Saccharomyces cerevisiae S288C: one gene and its partners. The protein of the gene in region 4 interacts with the protein of the main gene of each other region in a pairwise test. Each region holds a gene or a part of one and is shown on either strand. Other genes may lie near its edges.

The links.
Region 1: the proteins of PIL1 (region 4) and KAP122 interact in a protein complementation assay, tested with the Saccharomyces cerevisiae proteins (one study listed by BioGRID).
Region 2: the proteins of PIL1 (region 4) and MRP8 interact in binary tests that used the Saccharomyces cerevisiae proteins (3 or more experiments, as listed by UniProt).
Region 3: the proteins of PIL1 (region 4) and FIS1 interact in a two-hybrid assay, tested with the Saccharomyces cerevisiae proteins (one study listed by BioGRID).

The regions. Positions count from the first base shown.
Region 1 is NC_001139.9:459,905-466,935, forward strand, and holds KAP122 (Kap122p), read left to right. Parts: upstream 1-1,761; coding exon 1,762-5,007; downstream 5,008-7,031. Other genes in the region: ATE1 (arginyltransferase), read left to right, coding at 1-1,461; BIL2 (Bil2p), read right to left, coding at 5,139-5,531; PUF4 (Puf4p), read left to right, coding at 6,237-7,031.
Region 2 is NC_001143.9:176,775-180,747, forward strand, and holds MRP8 (Mrp8p), read left to right. Parts: upstream 1-1,740; coding exon 1,741-2,400; downstream 2,401-3,973. Other genes in the region: ribosome biogenesis protein LTV1, read left to right, coding at 7-1,398; succinate dehydrogenase cytochrome b subunit SDH3, read left to right, coding at 2,893-3,489.
Region 3 is NC_001141.2:240,186-244,538, reverse strand, and holds FIS1 (Fis1p), read left to right. Parts: upstream 1-2,763; coding exon 2,764-3,231; downstream 3,232-4,353. Other genes in the region: ARC15 (Arc15p), read left to right, coding at 77-541; YRB2 (Yrb2p), read left to right, coding at 795-1,778; EFM4 (Efm4p), read right to left, coding at 1,823-2,512; ribonucleotide-diphosphate reductase subunit RNR3, read left to right, coding at 3,831-4,353. UniProt on the Saccharomyces cerevisiae protein: Has a role in mitochondrial fission. Has a role in outer membrane fission but not matrix separation. Required for targeting MDV1 to the mitochondria.
Region 4 is NC_001139.9:649,098-653,648, forward strand, and holds PIL1 (lipid-binding protein PIL1), read right to left. Parts: upstream 1,521-4,551; coding exon 501-1,520; downstream 1-500. Other genes in the region: PDC6 (indolepyruvate decarboxylase 6), read right to left, coding at 2,193-3,884. UniProt on the Saccharomyces cerevisiae protein: Negative regulator of cell wall integrity (CWI) in unstressed cells, probably by inhibiting protein kinase PKH1/PHK2 activity and regulating their downstream CWI pathways PKC1-MAP kinase pathway and protein kinase YPK1 pathway.

The DNA of each region.
Region 1 (7,031 bases), 190 kb from region 4:
GCAAAGTGTGGGTATTGTCACGGTAATAAGGGGGGCAACATGGATCAGTTGTTCGCATTGGATTCGTGGGCTCATCGTTATATGAACAAAATGGACGTTGTAAAGATTGAAAACTGCACAATTGGCTCTTTCGTGGAACATATGGATGTAGCCACGTATGATCGCATGTGTAATATGGGATTTAGAAGGTCTGGTAAGTTTCTTTATAAAGTGGACCCGTTGAGGAATTGTTGTAGGTTATACACCATTCGAACTGCCCCTCAAGAATTGAATATGACAAAGGAATTGAAAAAATGCATCAGCCGCTTTGCTACTAGAATAACAAGTGAGGACTACTGCCCAGCCGCTGTTGCAAGCAGTGATTTTGTGGGCAAAATTGTTAATGCAGAGATGAATTCTAAAACATTCTATACCCGATTTGAGCCTGCACTTTATAGTGAAGAAAAGTATCACTTATTTGTCAAATATCAGGAAAAAGTGCATCAAGACTACAATAATTCGCCGAAGTCCTTTAAGCGATTCCTATGTGATACGCCCTTTGGCCCTGAAGCGGTGTTGGGGACACAAGAATCATGGGAGCAGTTAAACAATTGGCAGCGAATGAAGCCAGGCGAGAAACTGAAGCATATGGGTCCTGTGCACGAATGCTACTACTATGAGGGTAAATTAATTGCCATCACTGTGTCAGATATCTTGCCCAGTGGTATATCTTCGGTATATTTTATTTGGGATCCAGACTACAGTAAATGGTCCCTAGGGAAGCTCAGTGCTTTGCGCGATCTTGCCATCATTCAAAGGACAAATCTGCAATACTATTACCTGGGGTACTATATTGAGGACTGTCCGAAGATGAATTATAAAGCAAACTATGGTGCGGAAGTACTGGATGTGTGTCACAGTAAATATATCCCATTGAAACCCATTCAGGATATGATTTCTAGGGGCAAACTCTTTGTCATAGGTGAAGAAGAGACGAAAGTTACTAAGGAGCTCTACCTCGTTGACTCTGAAACCGGAAGAGGGGAGGGATTTCCCACTGATAATGTTGTCAAGTACAAGAATATTGCTGAGGAAATATACGGTGTGGGAGGGTGTGCGTTTAAATCTGCAAATGAATCTGCATTGGAATTGAAAGAACTTTACGGTATACCGTACGAAGAGGAAGATTTAGATACCATCTACCATTTGAAAGAACACAATGGCCATGCTCCAAATGGTATTCCTAATGTGGTGCCGGGATTACTCCCGCTATGGGAATTGCTGGACATTATGCAATCTGGCAAGATCACTGACCTGGAGGGAAGACTATTTCTCTTCGAAATCGAAACGGAGGGGATTCGACCATTAATTAACTTTTATAGCGAACCTCCGAATGTCAAGAAACGTATTTGTGACGTGATACGGTTATTTGGCTTCGAAACTTGTATGAAAGCCGTCATTTTATATAGTGAGCAAATGTGAGCCTTCAACACACTATTCTAATAACAATCCTAATGTATAACATTTTTTAGCATTCAAACATTCTCACCATCGCGCTGAGATAATTTTATATAGTTGATGGAATAGTTTTGGAGGTGATTTATCCATTAAATACCTGATGCTTTTTTGTCTCCTCATCGCGTGAAAAATTTGAGAAAAAGCTCGAACTATTTGTAGCACTTCACTGTATTGCTAACAGTTCTTAAAAACTTCAGAACATATAGATATTGCTAAACACAGATTTGAATACCATAGTAACTAGTCTCTTATTCTTAGTTTTTGATGAGCTCCATTCACGAGGTTGTGGCTCTTATTGAAGAGCTGTACTCTCCTCATCCGAAACATGATGTTAATCAGATTCAACAGAGTTTACAGTCAATCCAGAAATCAGAGCAAGGCTTCCACCTAGCTAATGAGCTTTTATCTGATGACAAGTACTCTGCGAATGTCAAGTACTTTGGTGCACTGACTTTAACTGTGCAACTAAATACGCGGGGTGAAAACGATTATGAAACCCTATGGAATGTTTTCAGGTCAAATTTATTGTACTTGACGAAATTCAGTACATTGTACGTTTCCAATCCTAATATGTACGGGCAATCTCTAATCATAATTAAAAAGTTAATGTCAAACTTGTCATTGATCTTCACTAAAATCAACGATCCGCAGCTTAATAACGCTGGAAATGAAAATATGATTAAGCAATGGAACAATCCCATAAATACGTTTATTCAACTTATGTCGGTTCAAAATCAAAACATTAATGCAGACCAACTGTTGCTTGACTCAATCAACTGCTCCTTAACATACGAGCAACTGTCTCAATTTGTTAGCCTATCTCAGAAACATAATGAACTGGCATTGACGTTTACAGAAGTTATTGTGGAAGATTTGACGAAGTTCCAAACAAAGAGGCATTCAATGTCTCAAATCCACGAAGTAGTCCATGAGCATTTATATATTTCAACTATGGCTTTGATCAACTTGAACTTAACTGCACAAGCTGTCTTCAATCCTACCGTATTTGATTGTATTACTGCTTGGATTAATTATATCTCATTAACCAGAAGCGTATCTTCAAGTGGTAGAATGGATTTGTCGGAAATTTTTCAAAACCTGATTGACTTGATGTATCAGTCTACAGAAGGATCGGACGGTTATGAGAATGCGGAAAAGATCCTAACAATATTTGGTAATGTTTTTGCTAATGATCCATTATTAATGAGTTACGATTTGAGACAACAAATCGAGTGTATTTTCTTAGGTGTAGTAAGGCCTGATTCTGGCATAACCGACATATCTAACAAAAATTCTTGGATGCTACAATATATGAATTATTTAGTTACCAATGATTTTTTTTCCGAATTGAAGGAATTGGCCATTTGTATTGTGGATTTCTTGCAAATTAACACGTTAAGTGTTTGTAATAAATTATTTACTAACATTCAAGCAGCTGATAATGGTCAAGTTCAAGATGAATATATTCAGGAATACATCAAAGTCCTTTTGCAAATGACCAATTTCCCTTTAACTCCTGTCTTACAAGAGTTCTTTTCTGTTAGAATGGTTGATTTTTGGTTGGATTTATCGGATGCTTACACTAATTTGGCTAGCGAAACTTTGAGGCCAAATTCTATTGAGCTGTCTACACAAATTTTTCAGCAGTTGATCAATATTTATTTACCCAAAATTTCTTTGAGTGTGAAACAAAGAATAATTGAAGAAGAGGGTGAGAGCACTTCTGTGAACGAATTTGAAGATTTTAGAAACGCTGTCAGTGACCTTGCTCAATCTCTCTGGTCTATTTTGGGAAACGATAATTTAACAAATGTGCTAATTGATGGTATGGGCCAAATGCCTGCTGCGAGTGATGAGACTCTCATCATCAAGGATACTGATGTTTTGTTTCGAATTGAAACGATGTGTTTTGTTTTGAATACTATATTGGTTGATATGACTCTATCAGAAAGCCCATGGATTAAAAATATCGTTGATGCCAACAAATTCTTCAACCAAAATGTCATATCCGTCTTCCAAACTGGTTTCCAAACTAGTGCCAGTACAAAAGTCAGTCAAATTTTGAAACTTGACTTCGTAAGAACAAGTACAACTTTAATCGGCACTTTGGCTGGTTATTTTAAACAGGAACCTTTTCAATTAAACCCATACGTGGAAGCTTTATTTCAAGGTTTGCACACTTGCACCAATTTTACTAGTAAAAACGAACAAGAAAAAATTTCGAACGATAAACTTGAAGTTATGGTTATCAAGACTGTTTCAACATTATGTGAGACATGCCGTGAGGAGTTGACTCCATATTTGATGCATTTTATAAGCTTTTTAAACACAGTCATTATGCCAGACTCCAATGTTTCACATTTCACTAGAACTAAATTGGTTAGATCTATAGGTTATGTCGTTCAATGTCAAGTCTCCAACGGTCCAGAGGAGCAAGCTAAATATATTTTACAATTGACGAACCTATTGAGCGGCTCAATAGAGCATTGTTTGGCTTCATCGGTACAGTTACAAGAACAACAAGATTATATTAATTGTCTATTATACTGTATATCTGAGCTAGCAACAAGTTTGATCCAACCTACTGAAATCATCGAAAATGATGCATTACTACAAAGGTTATCTGAGTTTCAAAGTTTCTGGTCCAGCGATCCCTTACAAATCCGATCGAAAATTATGTGCACCATTGATAAGGTCTTGGATAATTCAATATATTGTAAAAACTCCGCCTTTGTGGAGATCGGTTGTTTGATTGTTGGTAAAGGATTAAATCTGCCCGACGGGGAACCGTACTTCCTCAAGTACAATATGTCTGAAGTTATGAATTTTGTTTTGCGGCATGTCCCCAACTGTGAGCTTGCTACTTGCTTGCCTTATTTTGTTTATTTATTAGAAAAGCTTATTTCAGAGTTCAGGAAGGAACTAACACCACAAGAATTTGATTTCATGTTTGAAAAGATCCTTCTAGTCTATTATGATGCATATATTATCAATGATCCGGACCTTTTACAAATGACAATAGGTTTTGTTAATAACGTTTTGGACGTGAAGCCAGGCTTAGCTATTGGCAGTAAACATTGGACATCATTTATTTTACCTCAATTTTTAAAATTAATACCTTCAAGAGAAAAGTTCACAATTGTTGCGGTGGCAAAATTTTGGACTAAGTTGATCAATAATAAGAAATACAACCAAGAAGAACTCACAACTGTTAGGCAACAAGTTTCCTCTATAGGAGGAGACCTTGTGTACCAAATTATGTATGGCTTATTCCACACACAAAGGTCCGATCTGAATAGTTACACAGATCTGCTAAGAGCTTTGGTAGCCAAGTTTCCAATTGAAGCAAGAGAGTGGCTCGTTGCTGTTTTGCCCCAAATATGTAACAATCCTGCAGGTCATGAAAAATTTATTAATAAATTACTTATTACGAGAGGAAGCAGAGCAGCTGGAAATGTTATTTTGCAGTGGTGGTTGGATTGTACCACACTTCCAAATTACCAAGGATGATTTGTTAAGAATTTCTCCGCTGAGGGTGAAGGCTATTCTTTGTTACATTTTATTTAGTAATGCGTTGATCCTTTTTGATAGATTTTTTTTTTGTGCTTTAAAGATAGTAGCAGTATATATGTGTGTAAAAGCTAATCATCAGAAGTGCAGCATTCATTGCTAGTATTTAGTGATAAAAATTTTAGAATTTCCATTTCTAATTGTAATTGCTTTTCATTCCAATACATGTTTGAGCTTCTGGGGGGTAAAAATACATTTCCAGACAGGGCGTCAGGTTGAAAGCAGTTACTGAAACATAGAGAGTCGACGTCAGGAGGAGGCTTCAAATGGTTTTCTGAAAGTGATTCGGTCTTATTTTTCCATTTTCTAAAATGGTGAATCCTTTCTCTGGAAATGTGTGATCCCTTTGCCTTTTGTGAAAACTTTTTTAACGAGCTTTTTAGGTTATTAGTTGTCTCAAGAAGGTTTATGGGCCCGCTGGTCTCGATATCTGCGTAATTTAATGGACGTATCGTGTCTTCCATGGAGTGAATTGTGATTTGTGAATTATATCTGTCCAATACCGTTGCCTTGTTGGGAGCTCAGATAGAAAAGACATCTTAATTCCAGACAGTCTATTCTCTGTCTATTTCTCTTTGTGACTGCAAATTTTAATTTGTGACGCCTTTTCTTATTACTCATGTATTTGTCACTCTTGACGATTGTTTTTTTTCTATATTTTTTTTGTTCTGGGGTCCTCCAGAGAATAAAAAATAATGATCAATATAGTAGATAGTATAGTTATATTCTTATTCGTTGCACCTTGTTTAACAAATCACTCAGACTCAAAGAGAATATCGGTTGGTTATCTCTCTCCGAAGGTGAACAGCAAACAGTACCTCACGTCTTTTTTTTGAATAGTTTTTTTTTTTGTTGAAACAGAAAAAAAACTTTCTTCCGTATATTACATTGTACATTATTTTTATTGTATTTTAGTTTCCAACGTTAGGATTTGAGCCGTCATTAATATTATTCGTTTTTGTACACTATTCCAGACGATTTATTTTTAGTACACTTAAAATTCCTGTTGATATTGTCCACTAGTTCTCTTTTCATATTTTATTTTCGCTTATTCTTTAGGTTCTTTTAAGAGTCTCTGTTCATTTTCCGTTCTTACTGTTTCTTTGTCCTCGATATCTTTTAAGAAAGAGAGAACTAAGCGCTGTAACATTTTTAAGTGGACCTACGTTATGTCTACAAAAGGTTTGAAAGAAGAAATCGATGATGTACCATCAGTAGACCCTGTCGTTTCAGAAACAGTCAATTCTGCTTTAGAGCAGTTGCAACTAGATGATCCAGAGGAAAACGCCACCTCTAATGCATTTGCGAATAAAGTTTCTCAAGATTCTCAATTCGCTAATGGCCCTCCGTCGCAAATGTTTCCACATCCACAAATGATGGGTGGAATGGGCTTCATGCCCTACTCTCAAATGATGCAGGTTCCTCATAATCCTTGTCCATTTTTTCCGCCCCCTGATTTTAATGATCCAACAGCACCATTGAGTAGCTCGCCCTTGAATGCAGGCGGTCCACCAATGTTATTCAAGAATGACTCACTTCCATTTCAAATGCTGTCTTCGGGTGCTGCGGTAGCAACTCAAGGTGGACAAAATCTAAACCCATTGATAAATGACAATTCAATGAAGGTATTGCCAATCGCATCGGCTGATCCGTTATGGACTCATTCAAACGTACCAGGATCAGCATCTGTAGCCATTGAAGAAACCACCGCTACTCTACAAGAAAGCCTACCATCTAAGGGCAGGGAGTCTAATAATAAGGCTAGTTCGTTCAGAAGACAAACTTTTCATGCTTTATCACCAACTGACCTTATCAATGCGGCCAACAATGTAACCTTGTCAAAGGACTTCCAATCTGACATGCAGAATTTTTCTAAGGCTAAGAAACCGTCTGTAGGAGCTAACAATACTGCAAAAACCAGAACTCAATCCATATCTTTTGATAATACTCCCTCCTCAACGTCA
Region 2 (3,973 bases), on a different chromosome or scaffold from region 4:
ACGAAGATGTCGAAGAAATTTAGCTCTAAAAACTCCCAAAGGTACGTGGTGGTACACAGACCCCATGATGATCCTTCATTTTATGATACAGATGCCTCTGCGCACGTTTTGGTTCCTGTCTCCAATCCAAATAAAACTTCTCCAGAAGCAGATCTTCGAAAAAAAGACGTGAGTTCAACAAAACCAAAGGGTAGGAGGGCTCATGTGGGAGAAGCAGCTTTATATGGTATTAATTTTGATGATTCTGAATACGATTATACTCAACATTTGAAGCCAATAGGTCTCGACCCTGAAAACTCCATCTTTATAGCATCCAAAGGCAATGAACAGAAGGTCGAAAAAAAAAACATTGAAGATTTATTCATCGAACCTAAGTATAGACGTGATGAAATTGAGAAGGATGACGCGCTACCTGTGTTTCAAAGAGGGATGGCAAAGCCAGAATATTTACTACACCAACAAGATACCACCGATGAAATTAGAGGTTTCAAACCTGATATGAATCCTGCATTAAGAGAGGTGCTTGAAGCTTTAGAAGATGAAGCATATGTTGTTAATGATGATGTTGTGGTTGAAGACATCAGCAAAAAGACACAACTTCAAGGCGATAACTATGGAGAAGAAGAAAAGGAAGATGACATTTTCGCACAATTACTAGGGAGCGGTGAAGCAAAAGATGAAGACGAATTCGAGGATGAGTTTGATGAGTGGGATATTGATAATGTAGAAAATTTTGAAGATGAAAACTACGTTAAGGAAATGGCGCAATTTGATAACATCGAAAACCTGGAGGACTTGGAAAATATCGATTATCAAGCTGATGTTCGAAGATTTCAAAAAGATAACTCTATACTAGAAAAGCATAACTCGGATGATGAATTTTCTAATGCAGGTTTAGACAGTGTAAATCCCTCTGAAGAGGAAGATGTGCTGGGCGAATTGCCCTCTATCCAAGACAAAAGCAAGACGGGGAAGAAGAAAAGAAAGAGCCGTCAAAAAAAGGGTGCCATGTCAGATGTATCTGGATTTTCCATGAGTTCAAGTGCCATTGCGCGTACAGAGACGATGACAGTACTGGATGATCAGTACGATCAAATCATCAATGGTTACGAAAATTATGAGGAAGAACTAGAAGAGGACGAAGAACAAAATTACCAACCATTTGACATGTCAGCAGAAAGATCTGATTTTGAGTCAATGCTTGATGACTTTTTGGACAATTACGAACTGGAGAGTGGTGGCCGTAAACTGGCTAAGAAAGATAAAGAAATTGAAAGGCTGAAGGAAGCTGCTGATGAAGTAAGCAAAGGTAAACTGTCTCAGAGAAGAAATCGTGAAAGGCAAGAGAAAAAGAAACTTGAGAAGGTCACCAATACACTAAGCAGCTTAAAATTTTAGAGGAGTAGAATGAGATGAGAAAGCACCTACATTACAAGTACTGTGTAGACATGTATACTTAGCCTAGAATGCATTGATGCTAAAATACATCCTGCCCACCGGGTAATAATTATGAAACGCGGCGGTGCTCTTTGTGGATTTCGGAGAAAGGGGGTGGAGGAAGGAGGTCGATTTTCATTATTCAAATATTGTTTTAGTATAAAGAAAACCGGCGTGCATTGCTTCAAAGAGCCGTTCAAATTAGTAACCGTTTGAGATATCTTGTCTTACTACTCGTATTCCGCAGATAAAGTACATTTTAAGAAAGGAAGTAAATACACATAAATAAATAGCAGGAAGAAAATGTCTAACGAAATTGAATTACTGCAGAAGCAAGTCTCTGAATTACAAGACTTAGTGAAGAAGCAAAGTCTGATTATCTCTAAGACAGGAGAGCGTGTGCTGGAATTGCAGTTAGATAAACAAAAGCACGACGTAACTGATTTTGATTCGAAATTCTCTAAATCTATCTCGAAGAAATCAGGATCCGCTACTCAATTCGATGCCACTGATTTTGCCACAAATGAAGATCTAGTGGAATTAGTCAAAGAACTACAGGGTGAGCTAAATTTCATCGAGGAAAGGTCTATCAGAAGACTTGTTAACTCTTTGAAAAAAGATGATGATGACGTTATAGCGCCACTGCCTAATGCAGATGGTGATATTCCTGCTATTTCAGACGGAGTGTTCCCTAAGTCGTTGAAAGAATTTAAAGACATCCCAGACTTAAAACTGGTAAGACTTGCTAAATTCTACGAAAGATTGCCACCAACTCTAAAGGAACAAGAAGATTTTGAAAACTTCCTGGAAGGTAAGGTGGAAGCCTTTCACATTAATGAGACCACTGATGAAGAGATTTCTAAGGAGTTGGAAAAGTTCTCCAAAGATGAGCTAGATGATGCATTTAATGATGTTGCCCGCTATCTAGGTCTCTCCCTTAGAAGAGGAACCGAAATATGGTAAACAGAAAATGAAAAAAAATGAAAAATCAATGAATAAGAGGGCTTGAGTTCCAGGTTCTAGAAATTTCCCTCACTTATATATATATATATATCTATATACATATAGTTTTGAGTATATCATAACAGGATTCTCTTTCAATGAAACCTATGTTTTCCGCGGCATTGCAGTTAAAGGATGTTCTAGTGGTGAAAAAGAGAAGAAAAGAATTCAAAGTTTTCCTCCCATAAGTATACCTATACTTTTTATCTGTGATTGAAAGCTGTATACCAACAGCCTTCTATATATTACCTTGTATACCATTCAGTAGTCTTAAGCATCATCTAACTTTTGACCAGGTCCATTCTGATTGGCTGCGGTAGCCCGCTCCGTTTTCCGCTCTAAGCGTTTGGTACTTGTATAAATGTGCACTGGCATTATGATATCGAGATCCCCGCATAGAAATCTCAGGACCAACCAAAAATTGCCAATCACAAGCTCTAAGAATAATAAACGATGTCTGCAATGATGGTCAAGTTAGGACTGAATAAGTCGGCTCTATTACTGAAACCCTCCGCCTTTTCAAGAGCAGCTGCCTTGAGCTCCTCGAGGAGGCTGCTTTTTAATACAGCTAGAACAAACTTCCTTTCTACCTCACCATTGAAGAATGTGGCCAGTGAAATGAACACCAAAGCGGCAATTGCTGAAGAACAAATATTAAACAAGCAAAGAGCAAAGAGACCTATTTCTCCACATCTGACCATTTACCAGCCACAATTAACTTGGTACCTGTCTTCTCTTCACCGTATTTCGTTGGTGCTTATGGGACTAGGTTTCTACTTGTTTACTATACTCTTCGGAGTCTCTGGTTTATTAGGTCTTGGATTGACTACCGAAAAGGTTTCTAATTGGTACCATCAGAAGTTTTCCAAGATTACCGAATGGTCCATCAAGGGTTCCTTTGCTTACTTATTTGCAATTCACTATGGTGGCGCCATTAGACACTTGATCTGGGATACCGCTAAGGAATTGACATTGAAAGGCGTTTACAGAACTGGTTACGCTCTCATTGGTTTCACCGCCGTTCTCGGTACTTATTTATTAACTTTATGATTCTTTAAGGCGACGCACCTGTTTCTACACACAAATATATATATAGCCAATTTTATATATACGTTCCTATATATGACCCAATACCGCACTTATTTATTCTTTAAGATCTTTATAACCCAAAATGCCGATTAACACAAACCTATATTTACTAGGGGCACATTTTTTATTTTTTTGCCTTTCTGTAAAATACAATAGAGAAAATAAAGGAACAAACAAGAGGAAAAACAGGAAAAGATAGCGCAAGAGTAATCATATTCAACAAAATATCAGTGATTTTTTACAGATATCAAGATAATTTCTTTCCGGATACTTATTGAAGCTATTATTTGTTACTGGCAAGAAAAAGCAAACATAGGCGGTCATTTTTCTTTTGTATAAAGTAAATACAAGAAGAATTATTTTCGAGGAATAACTAGGTGTGCAGAGATATTAAGGAACAAGGAAAGAAGAAAGAAAACAATTCGAACAAAACTTTATTATTCTA
Region 3 (4,353 bases), on a different chromosome or scaffold from region 4:
GCCCGCATTTAACACAAGATACTATAGCAAAGGAGACCAGAGAAGACTCAACACAACACACGCGAACGATCAAGCAATGGAAGCCGATTGGAGGAGAATTGACATCGATGCATTTGATCCAGAGAGTGGCAGACTAACCGCTGCCGATCTGGTACCACCATACGAAACTACTGTCACATTACAAGAATTACAACCTCGAATGAATCAATTGCGCTCGCTTGCCACAAGTGGTGACTCTTTGGGAGCCGTTCAATTACTCACAACCGATCCTCCATACAGTGCAGATGCTCCAACAAAGGAGCAATATTTTAAGAGCGTCCTTGAAGCATTGACACAAGTCAGGCAAGCCGATATTGGTAATGTAATCAAAAATTTGAGTGATTCTCAGAGGGACGTGCTGGTAAAGTATCTCTACAAAGGAATGTCCGTACCTCAGGGCCAGAAACAAGGGGGTGTCTTGCTTGCGTGGCTGGAAAGAATTACTCAAGTCAGTGGTGTCACACCTATCGTTCATTATATATCGGATAGAAGAACTGTATGATACTCTGCCCAGTAAAACTTAGTATAAAGAAATATACATATATATACGTAATTTTAAGGGTCGCGTTTGTTATATGCTTTTACTTCAGGCATTTCGCGGTGATGTAGGTATTGAGTTTTTTTTTAAAAAAATTGACATTGTTTGGCGAGGTTGAAGATATAAATGCCTGGATTTTAAAAAGCTCAGTTGCTACTCAAACCAAAATGTCAACAAATCAATTTGCACAAAACAAGTACGCATAAACTTTGAGAGCATGAGTGAGACCAATGGTGGCAATGCAGCCAGGGAAAATTCTGAGGTGAAACAAACTGCAGTTGAAAATCCTATCGATAAACTAGATGGAACTCCTAAGAGACCGAGGGAAAAAGATCAGGATGAACAAGCGGAAGAAACGAGTGACAAATCAGAAGCACCCAATAAAAATGATGAGGAGAAAAAGGAGGAAGGTAAAAAAGACCAAGAACCATCGCATAAGAAGATCAAGGTTGACGACGGAAAGACCGTAGAATCTGGTATTGTGGAAGATGACAAAAAGGAGGATAAATTCGTGTTTGGTGCCGCATCTAAATTTGGAACTGGGTTTGGTGTTGCCAAAAAGGACACGAAAGATGGAGATGCAACTACCAGTACTGAAAGTTTACCAGCCTCTGACAGCAAAACAAAGAAGCCATTTGCATTTGGTTCAGGTTTATCATTTGGCAGCGGCTTCAACATACTGAAAAACAAAACAGAAAATAACTCTGAAAGTGAAAAGAAAGCTACTGATGTTGACAAAGATAAAGTCCATAGTGGATCTGAACAACTAGCGAATGCCTCAGAAGATACAAAAGACAAACCAAAACCCCTCAAATTGCAGAAACAGGAAGTCAAGTCTGGTGAAGAGTCTGAGGAGTGCATATATCAAGTCAATGCGAAGCTGTACCAACTTTCCAACATAAAAGAAGGCTGGAAGGAAAGAGGTGTTGGTATCATCAAAATCAATAAAAGTAAGGACGACGTCGAGAAGACGCGTATTGTTATGAGGTCTCGTGGTATCTTAAAAGTCATTTTAAACATCCAACTGGTCAAGGGGTTCACTGTGCAAAAAGGATTTACAGGTTCTTTGCAAAGCGAAAAATTCATAAGATTACTAGCAGTAGATGATAACGGTGATCCTGCACAGTACGCCATAAAGACTGGTAAGAAGGAAACCACGGATGAATTGTATAACATTATAGTTAAATCCGTTCCTAAATAAGTAAAGAGAAATAACGTTAAAAATAAATCAAAGATAAAAACAAATCAGTTTTGTTTAACAAATGCTACACTACATATGGTCGCACCCTGGACCCCGCCAAATTGGAAAACAGGGTATTTTATTGTTTTCCACATTTTCAAATTATCAGTCTCTATGATCTTTACTAGTTCATCTTGTGTGAAATTACAAGAAGTGATCAAGAAAATACCGTCTTTTTTCAAAATCCTTTCCACTACTCCGGCGTATACATCGACTACATCAAGTTTACCGTTGATCTTCATGCCACTCAATGAAATGGCATCTAGGGTCCCTTTATCCAACACAATGTCATACTTTCCCGGCTTCCAGTCACCACTAAAGATGTCTGCTTGCTGGAAACTGATGAAATTGTCAACACCGGTGGCCTCGGCTATATTACTAGCGAGTTTGACGCTTTCCTCAGAATAGTCTATCCCGACCAGTTTCCCTTGGAATTCCGTTTGATGCAGTTCAAATAACATGTGTCCATTACCTGTACCGAGGTCTACAACAGAAGCATTCTCAGAAATTCTGTACGCACCAATGTTATCTACCAGAAAATCAATCATCTTTTGTTCAGCATCGCTATCGCTAAACCAACAGTCCCCGGTATCCTGCGGATTCCGCCTGAAATTCTCCAGCTCCAGGGCATACAGTTCATCCCAGTATTTTTTCGTACCAAGTTTCGAAGTGCTCAAATCTGCCGTGCCCTGCATCTGTACTACCTTTTCGGGTTGAGTTCGTTCCATAATACCGTTCTTAAGAGCTGAGCTCATCGATTTTTTTTCACTTCTTTTCATGAACCAATCTTTTTGCGCATTTATGCCGGAACACCGCAAGCGGGCTAGGCTGGACCCCTTTCAAAGCAAAGCTGCCATTGCCACTATTCTGCACAGAAGTTATCATATACCTTGCGTAAAAACGGCACATAGAAGCACAGATCAGAGCACAGCCATACAACATAAGTATGACCAAAGTAGATTTTTGGCCAACTCTTAAGGACGCATACGAACCACTCTATCCGCAGCAGCTGGAGATTCTGCGCCAGCAAGTCGTCTCCGAGGGGGGGCCCACCGCTACCATACAGTCAAGGTTTAACTACGCATGGGGGCTGATCAAATCCACTGACGTGAATGACGAAAGGCTTGGTGTGAAAATCCTCACAGACATTTACAAAGAGGCCGAGTCCCGTAGACGAGAATGCCTATATTATCTGACCATAGGTTGCTACAAACTCGGTGAATACTCTATGGCGAAGAGATATGTAGACACTTTATTTGAGCATGAGCGTAATAACAAGCAGGTGGGCGCTTTGAAGAGTATGGTAGAGGATAAGATCCAGAAGGAAACACTCAAGGGTGTTGTCGTCGCTGGAGGCGTACTAGCCGGCGCTGTGGCCGTGGCTAGTTTCTTCTTAAGAAACAAGAGAAGGTAACAAGCACATAAAAAATCAGCACATACGTACATACATAAGAATGAATCGCACGCACGCGTAAACATTTATCATTTAATCTTCAGTTGTTAGATAAAAAAAAAAAGAAAAGAAAAGAAAGTGAAGGCTTGTTTCAGTTTGAACTAGGTAGCAGAGCAAGCCCTCGTTCTTGGCTGCTAATTTTCCTAAAGTAGTAAAAAAAGCCAAGTTATCTGCCTACGGTTGTCACAGCAACATTGCGTGCCGTTGTTCTTTTGTTTTTTTTTTTTTTTTTTTTTCGTGGTTGTCGCAGCAACGACACCTAGGCGCTGCTCAAAGGGGCAAAAACCCGGTTGCCATGGCGAGGACCAAACGACAAGATGGGAAAAAAACAATAGTCTATTGTTAAATCGTAATACTGTATTGTGAGATGCTGACGCGTTTCGTTTTTCGTGTCAGCGTTCTTTATATTGTTTCGTGTTCTGCTGCAAAACGTATATAAACGCACTGCTATTTTGCCTTCTTTTGCCTTCTTCCTTGCCTTTCTCTCATCTCATATCCAAGTTGAAATAAATATGACAAGCAAGAATAGCAGCAGCAATAAATCAAATACTCCCACACAAATGTACGTTATTAAAAGAGACGGCCGCAAAGAGCCCGTTCAATTCGATAAAATTACCTCCCGTATCACCCGTTTGTCATACGGTTTAGACCCAAACCGTATTGATGCTGTTAAGGTAACCCAACGTATTATTTCTGGTGTGTACTCCGGTGTTACTACCGTTGAGCTGGACAATCTTGCAGCTGAAACATGTGCATACATGACCACTGTGCACCCTGATTATGCCACTCTAGCCGCTAGAATCGCCATCTCTAACTTACATAAGCAAACCACAAAGCAATTCTCCAAAGTTATTGAGGATTTACACGACTGGATTAACCCAGCTACTGGAAAGCATGCTCCTATGATTTCGGACGAAATTTACAACATTGTCATGGAAAACAAAGATACTTTGAACTCGGCCATCGTGTACGATAGGGATTTCCAGTATACGTATTTCGGATTCAAGACACTGGAGCGTTCGTACTTGCTAAGACTGAACGGTGAAGTGGCAGAACGTCCTCAGCATTTGGTAATGCGTGTGG
Region 4 (4,551 bases):
GAAGGCGGTGAAAACAAAAAGAATATTAAAAAAAGTAATGTATGGGTTCTCGTTGTACGGATGTTTAAAATGTCCTGAAAAATACCAATTAGACGGTTCTGTGCTTGTTATATATAGATGTCTATACGACTCAACATATGTATGTTGCTGCATTTTAGAAAAAAATTAGGCATTAAACATTAGGCTACACAGGAAATAATGTTTCCTATCAAAAGAGTTCTAACTTGAATTGTTCCTTCACAATTAAAAAAAATAAAAGAGTACATATTTAGGAGGGGGAAGAGATATTGATAATAGACTAAAGTAAGGAGTGAGGAGAGGGCAAAATACAATAATAGATGAAAAAAAAAATAGGAAAATAAAACAATTTTTTCAGAGTGAGGGAACAGAAATGATTATCTGTCCACGCATTAATTAAAAGAGATTAATTAGTATGGTAACTTGTTCTTTTCTGCTGGTTTTTTTTTTTTTGTTTCTAATAGATTGTTGATTTATTTTGATTAAGCTGTTGTTTGTTGGGGAAGAGACTCACTTTGCTGGTGTCCGACTTGTTCATGTTCTTCAACAGCACCTTCTTCTTCTTGTTCAGGTTCTTCAATTTGTCCATCTTCTTGTTCGTCTTCGGACCACCTGCCTTGACCGTCTTCCTCTTCCTCTTCTTCGCCTTCTTCAGGTTCGAAGTCTTCGTAATCCTGCTTGAAACTTAAAGTAGGCTTGACTTGGGCAGAGTCTAGTGTCCATTCATTCAGTGCGCTTTCAGCATCAATAATGATTTGTTTAGAGGCTTCATACCCATCGTAAGCAGGCCTGGTTTCACCTGGAGTGACAGGAGAGTCGTCCAATAGTTCCAAGAGAGCCTTACCGTAACCAGCGATTAAAGCAATTTTCTCTGAATGTTCGATGATGGAGTCAAATTGGTAGTTGAAAGCAGCTCTCAACTTTGACCTTGTGATATTAGATAATTGAGCTTCAGCGACCAAAGATTCAGCCTCAGCACGCACCAATTCTTGTTCCAAGACCTCAATCTTAGGTGATTGAGGATCTTTGTATTTCAAGTAGGCGATTTTGTCGGTGATCTTGTCCTTACGGTCTCTAGATGGTTGAACAGAACCTTCGATATCTCTGATGGACTTTAGAGTCAATCTGTATTGGTCATAACGATCGATAAATTGGTCGTCTAATTCACTAACTTCATAGATCAAGACACCTAATTTATCAGTGATGTCGGAAACATCGTCATCGTTTTCCAACCCCCAAATAGACAATTGCTTAGCAGCGTCACGTCTTTCGTTGGCTGTCAATTCCATGGACCTCAAAACATTCTTTTCAATCTTAACCAATTGAGACAACTTTCTGGATAATTCTGGGCCAAAAGCTCCAGCAGCACTTCTCCTAAAGCTGTAAGCTAGACCACCCTTCCCAAAGAATCTACCTTTGGTTGTAGATGGTGGTGGCGGTGGGTTCTGTAATTGAGAGGCGGTAGGTGCCCTGGAATTTCTTAAAGAGTAAGTTCTGTGCATACTATATACTTGATGCTGATATATTCTTCACTTTGCAATACTGCTAACAATGGAAAAGTATAGGTAAATAAATGTGCAGATGCAGATGTGAGACAAATTTTCTTTCTTGGGTTGGGATAATCAACGCATTGTACCCAAACGACGGGAAACAAGGAAGGATGCAGAATGAGCACTTGTTATTTATAAAAAGACACGGGAGGGGGAATCCCGTCTTTCGTCCGTCGGAGCCAAAGAGATGAGCCAAAGCAGAAAAACAGGGGACGCCGCCCTTCTTCCGTCCCGTGCGTGAGGGGGGCGCGGCCATTCGGTTTTTGCAATATGACCTGTGGGCCAAAAATCGAAAAAAAAAAAAATAAGAGGCGGCTGCGGAATTTTATAAGACAAGCGCAGGGCCAAAGAAAAAATAATAATTGACGTGGCTGAACAACAGTCTCTCCCCACCCCTTTCCAAAAAGGGGAATGAAATACGAGTTCTTTTTCCCAATTGGTAAATATTCAACAAGAGACGCGCAGTACGTAACATGCGAATTGCGTAATTCACGGCGATAACGTAGTATTTAGATTTAGTATAATTTGAACCGATGTATTTATTTGTCTGATTGATTTATGTATTCAAACTGTGTAAGTTTATTTATTTGCAACAATAATTCGTTTGAGTACACTACTAATGGCTTATTGTTTGGCATTTGTAGCGGCAGTCAATTGCGCTTGTTTGATCAAACTTTCCGGAGCATCAAAGACGGGCAGTTTCAGTTCAATTAGTCTGATCACCGAGTTTTTCTGGAACTCTGAATCAGTGGTTAAGGCATCCCACTCACCCGTAGTGGCGATCTTGTGATTTTCGTACTTTTTCGCACCAAATGCGGGCAACAGGGCGAGGTGATCCCAGGTCTGGATTTCGTTGTACTCTGCGTGAGGCCCATGAATCAGCTTTTCGATAGTGTAGCCGTCGTTGTTAAGGACAAAAAGATACGGCTTTAACCCCCATCTGATCATGGTGGAGATTTCTTGGACGGTTAACTGCAAAGACCCGTCACCTATGAATAAGATGACTCTCTTGTTGGGGTCAATCTCCTCAGCGGCAAAGGCAGCACCTAAAGTTGCTCCTGTTGTAAAACCGATGGACCCCCACAACACCTGCGAGATACCGTAGGCGTCCTTAGGAAAGATAGTTTGATTGATACCGAAGGCAGACGTGCCGGTCTCGGAAATGATAACATCACCTTCTTGCAAGAATTTGGACAATTCGTTCCACAACCACTCTTGTTTCAAGGGCGTGCTAGCAGGTACACCTTTGTTTGCGGGAGTTTTGGTTGGTACGGGAACGCTCTTGTAGCCCTTAACAACATCGGGAATAACCTTCAGTAAGTTTTGTAGTGCAAATTTCATTTGTACACCGAGGAACGTAGCGTTCTTCACCTTTACGTAATCGGAATGAAACTCCACTACATTTTTAGTCTTGTAGGAGTAGGAAAACGAACCTGTGTTAAAATCAGAGAGCAAAGCACCGACCGAAAGGATCAAATCAGCCGACTCAACGGCCTGTTTCACGTCTTGTTTGGACAGCGTTCCCACATAAACACCGCCATATCTGGGATGCTGTTCATCTATTGACCCTTTACCTAGAGGTGTCACAAAAGCTGGGAATTGCGTCAAATCAATTAACTTCTGGGTTTCTTTTTTAACGTTGTGCCTAGAAGCACAGGCATCCGATAGTATAACAGGGTTTTTCGAATTCTGGATCAATTCTAGTACGGTATCAATAACTTCCTTTTCAGCTTCGGGATCGTTAGGTTTTAATGATAGATCAATCGGTTTTTCCAAAAGAGAACCAGGAACCTTTAGATCTACCAAATTCGCTGGCAACCCCAAGTAGCTAGGCCTTTGTGTTATAAATGTTGTCCTGATCAACCTATCGATTTCTGAAGGGGCTGTAGCAATGTCTGTAATCATTGATGTAGTTTCTGAGATATTGGCGGACATTCTGTGAAAAACGGTAAAATCACCGTTACCCAAGGTATGATGCAACAACAATTGCTTAGCCTGAGCGGAGATAGAGGGGACACCAACAACATGCAGTACACCGACGTGTTCTGCATACGATCCTGCAATACCATTCAAGGCGGATAATTCACCTACGCCAAAAGTAGTTACCAGCACAGATAAACCCTTGATGCGTGCGTAACCATCGGCGGCATAGGCGGCGTTCAGCTCATTTGCATTACCAGCCCATCTCAATCCATCTACCTCGTAAATCTTGTCCAATAGGGACAAGTTGAAGTCGCCTGGTAGCCCAAAAATGGTGTTAACATTAACTTGCTTCAATCTTTCAAATAAGTATTTTCCAAGAGTAATTTCAGACATTTTGTTGGCAATATGTTTTTGCTATATTACGTGGGTTTTTTATTTATACTGTATATAAAAGAGGACTGCAATAGCACAAGATTAAGATAGAATGGCTTCAAACAGCCGCCTTTTATACATATTGGTAAAAGCTCGCGAATCGCACCATATCCCTTATCCTGTAATCAAATCGATCTAGGTGCAGATACAGATCAATTCATAAAAAGAAATTGAAGCACCAGTTTATCACTACTACACTATCTTTTTCTTTTTTTTTTTTTTTTGCGAAGTTTCGCCCTTTGTTCAATATCACTTGATAAGTTGTGGGCTTTTTCTGTCACTCATTCGGCTTAAAAAGTATTCGTTCTTTTGTGTTTTATGAAAAGGGAACGTGATATAAAAAAACATCCTTTGGTGTGGGACATGGGCTTTTGTTTAGAGAATGGTTATCACTACCGCCCCCACCCTTGAAAGCCACAGAAAATGAAAAAGTATGTGAATAAGGTGTGAACTCTATAACATTTTGGCCAAATGCCACAGCCGATCTGCATATTCCAATGGACATAATGCAACAACAATTGATGTCACATTCTCTTACACACTTCGATTGGTCCGTACGTAGTACTTTTTACATAACTGACTCAGGCGTTTCCTTCATTGAAATGCTCATCTATTGCCAAGTACATAG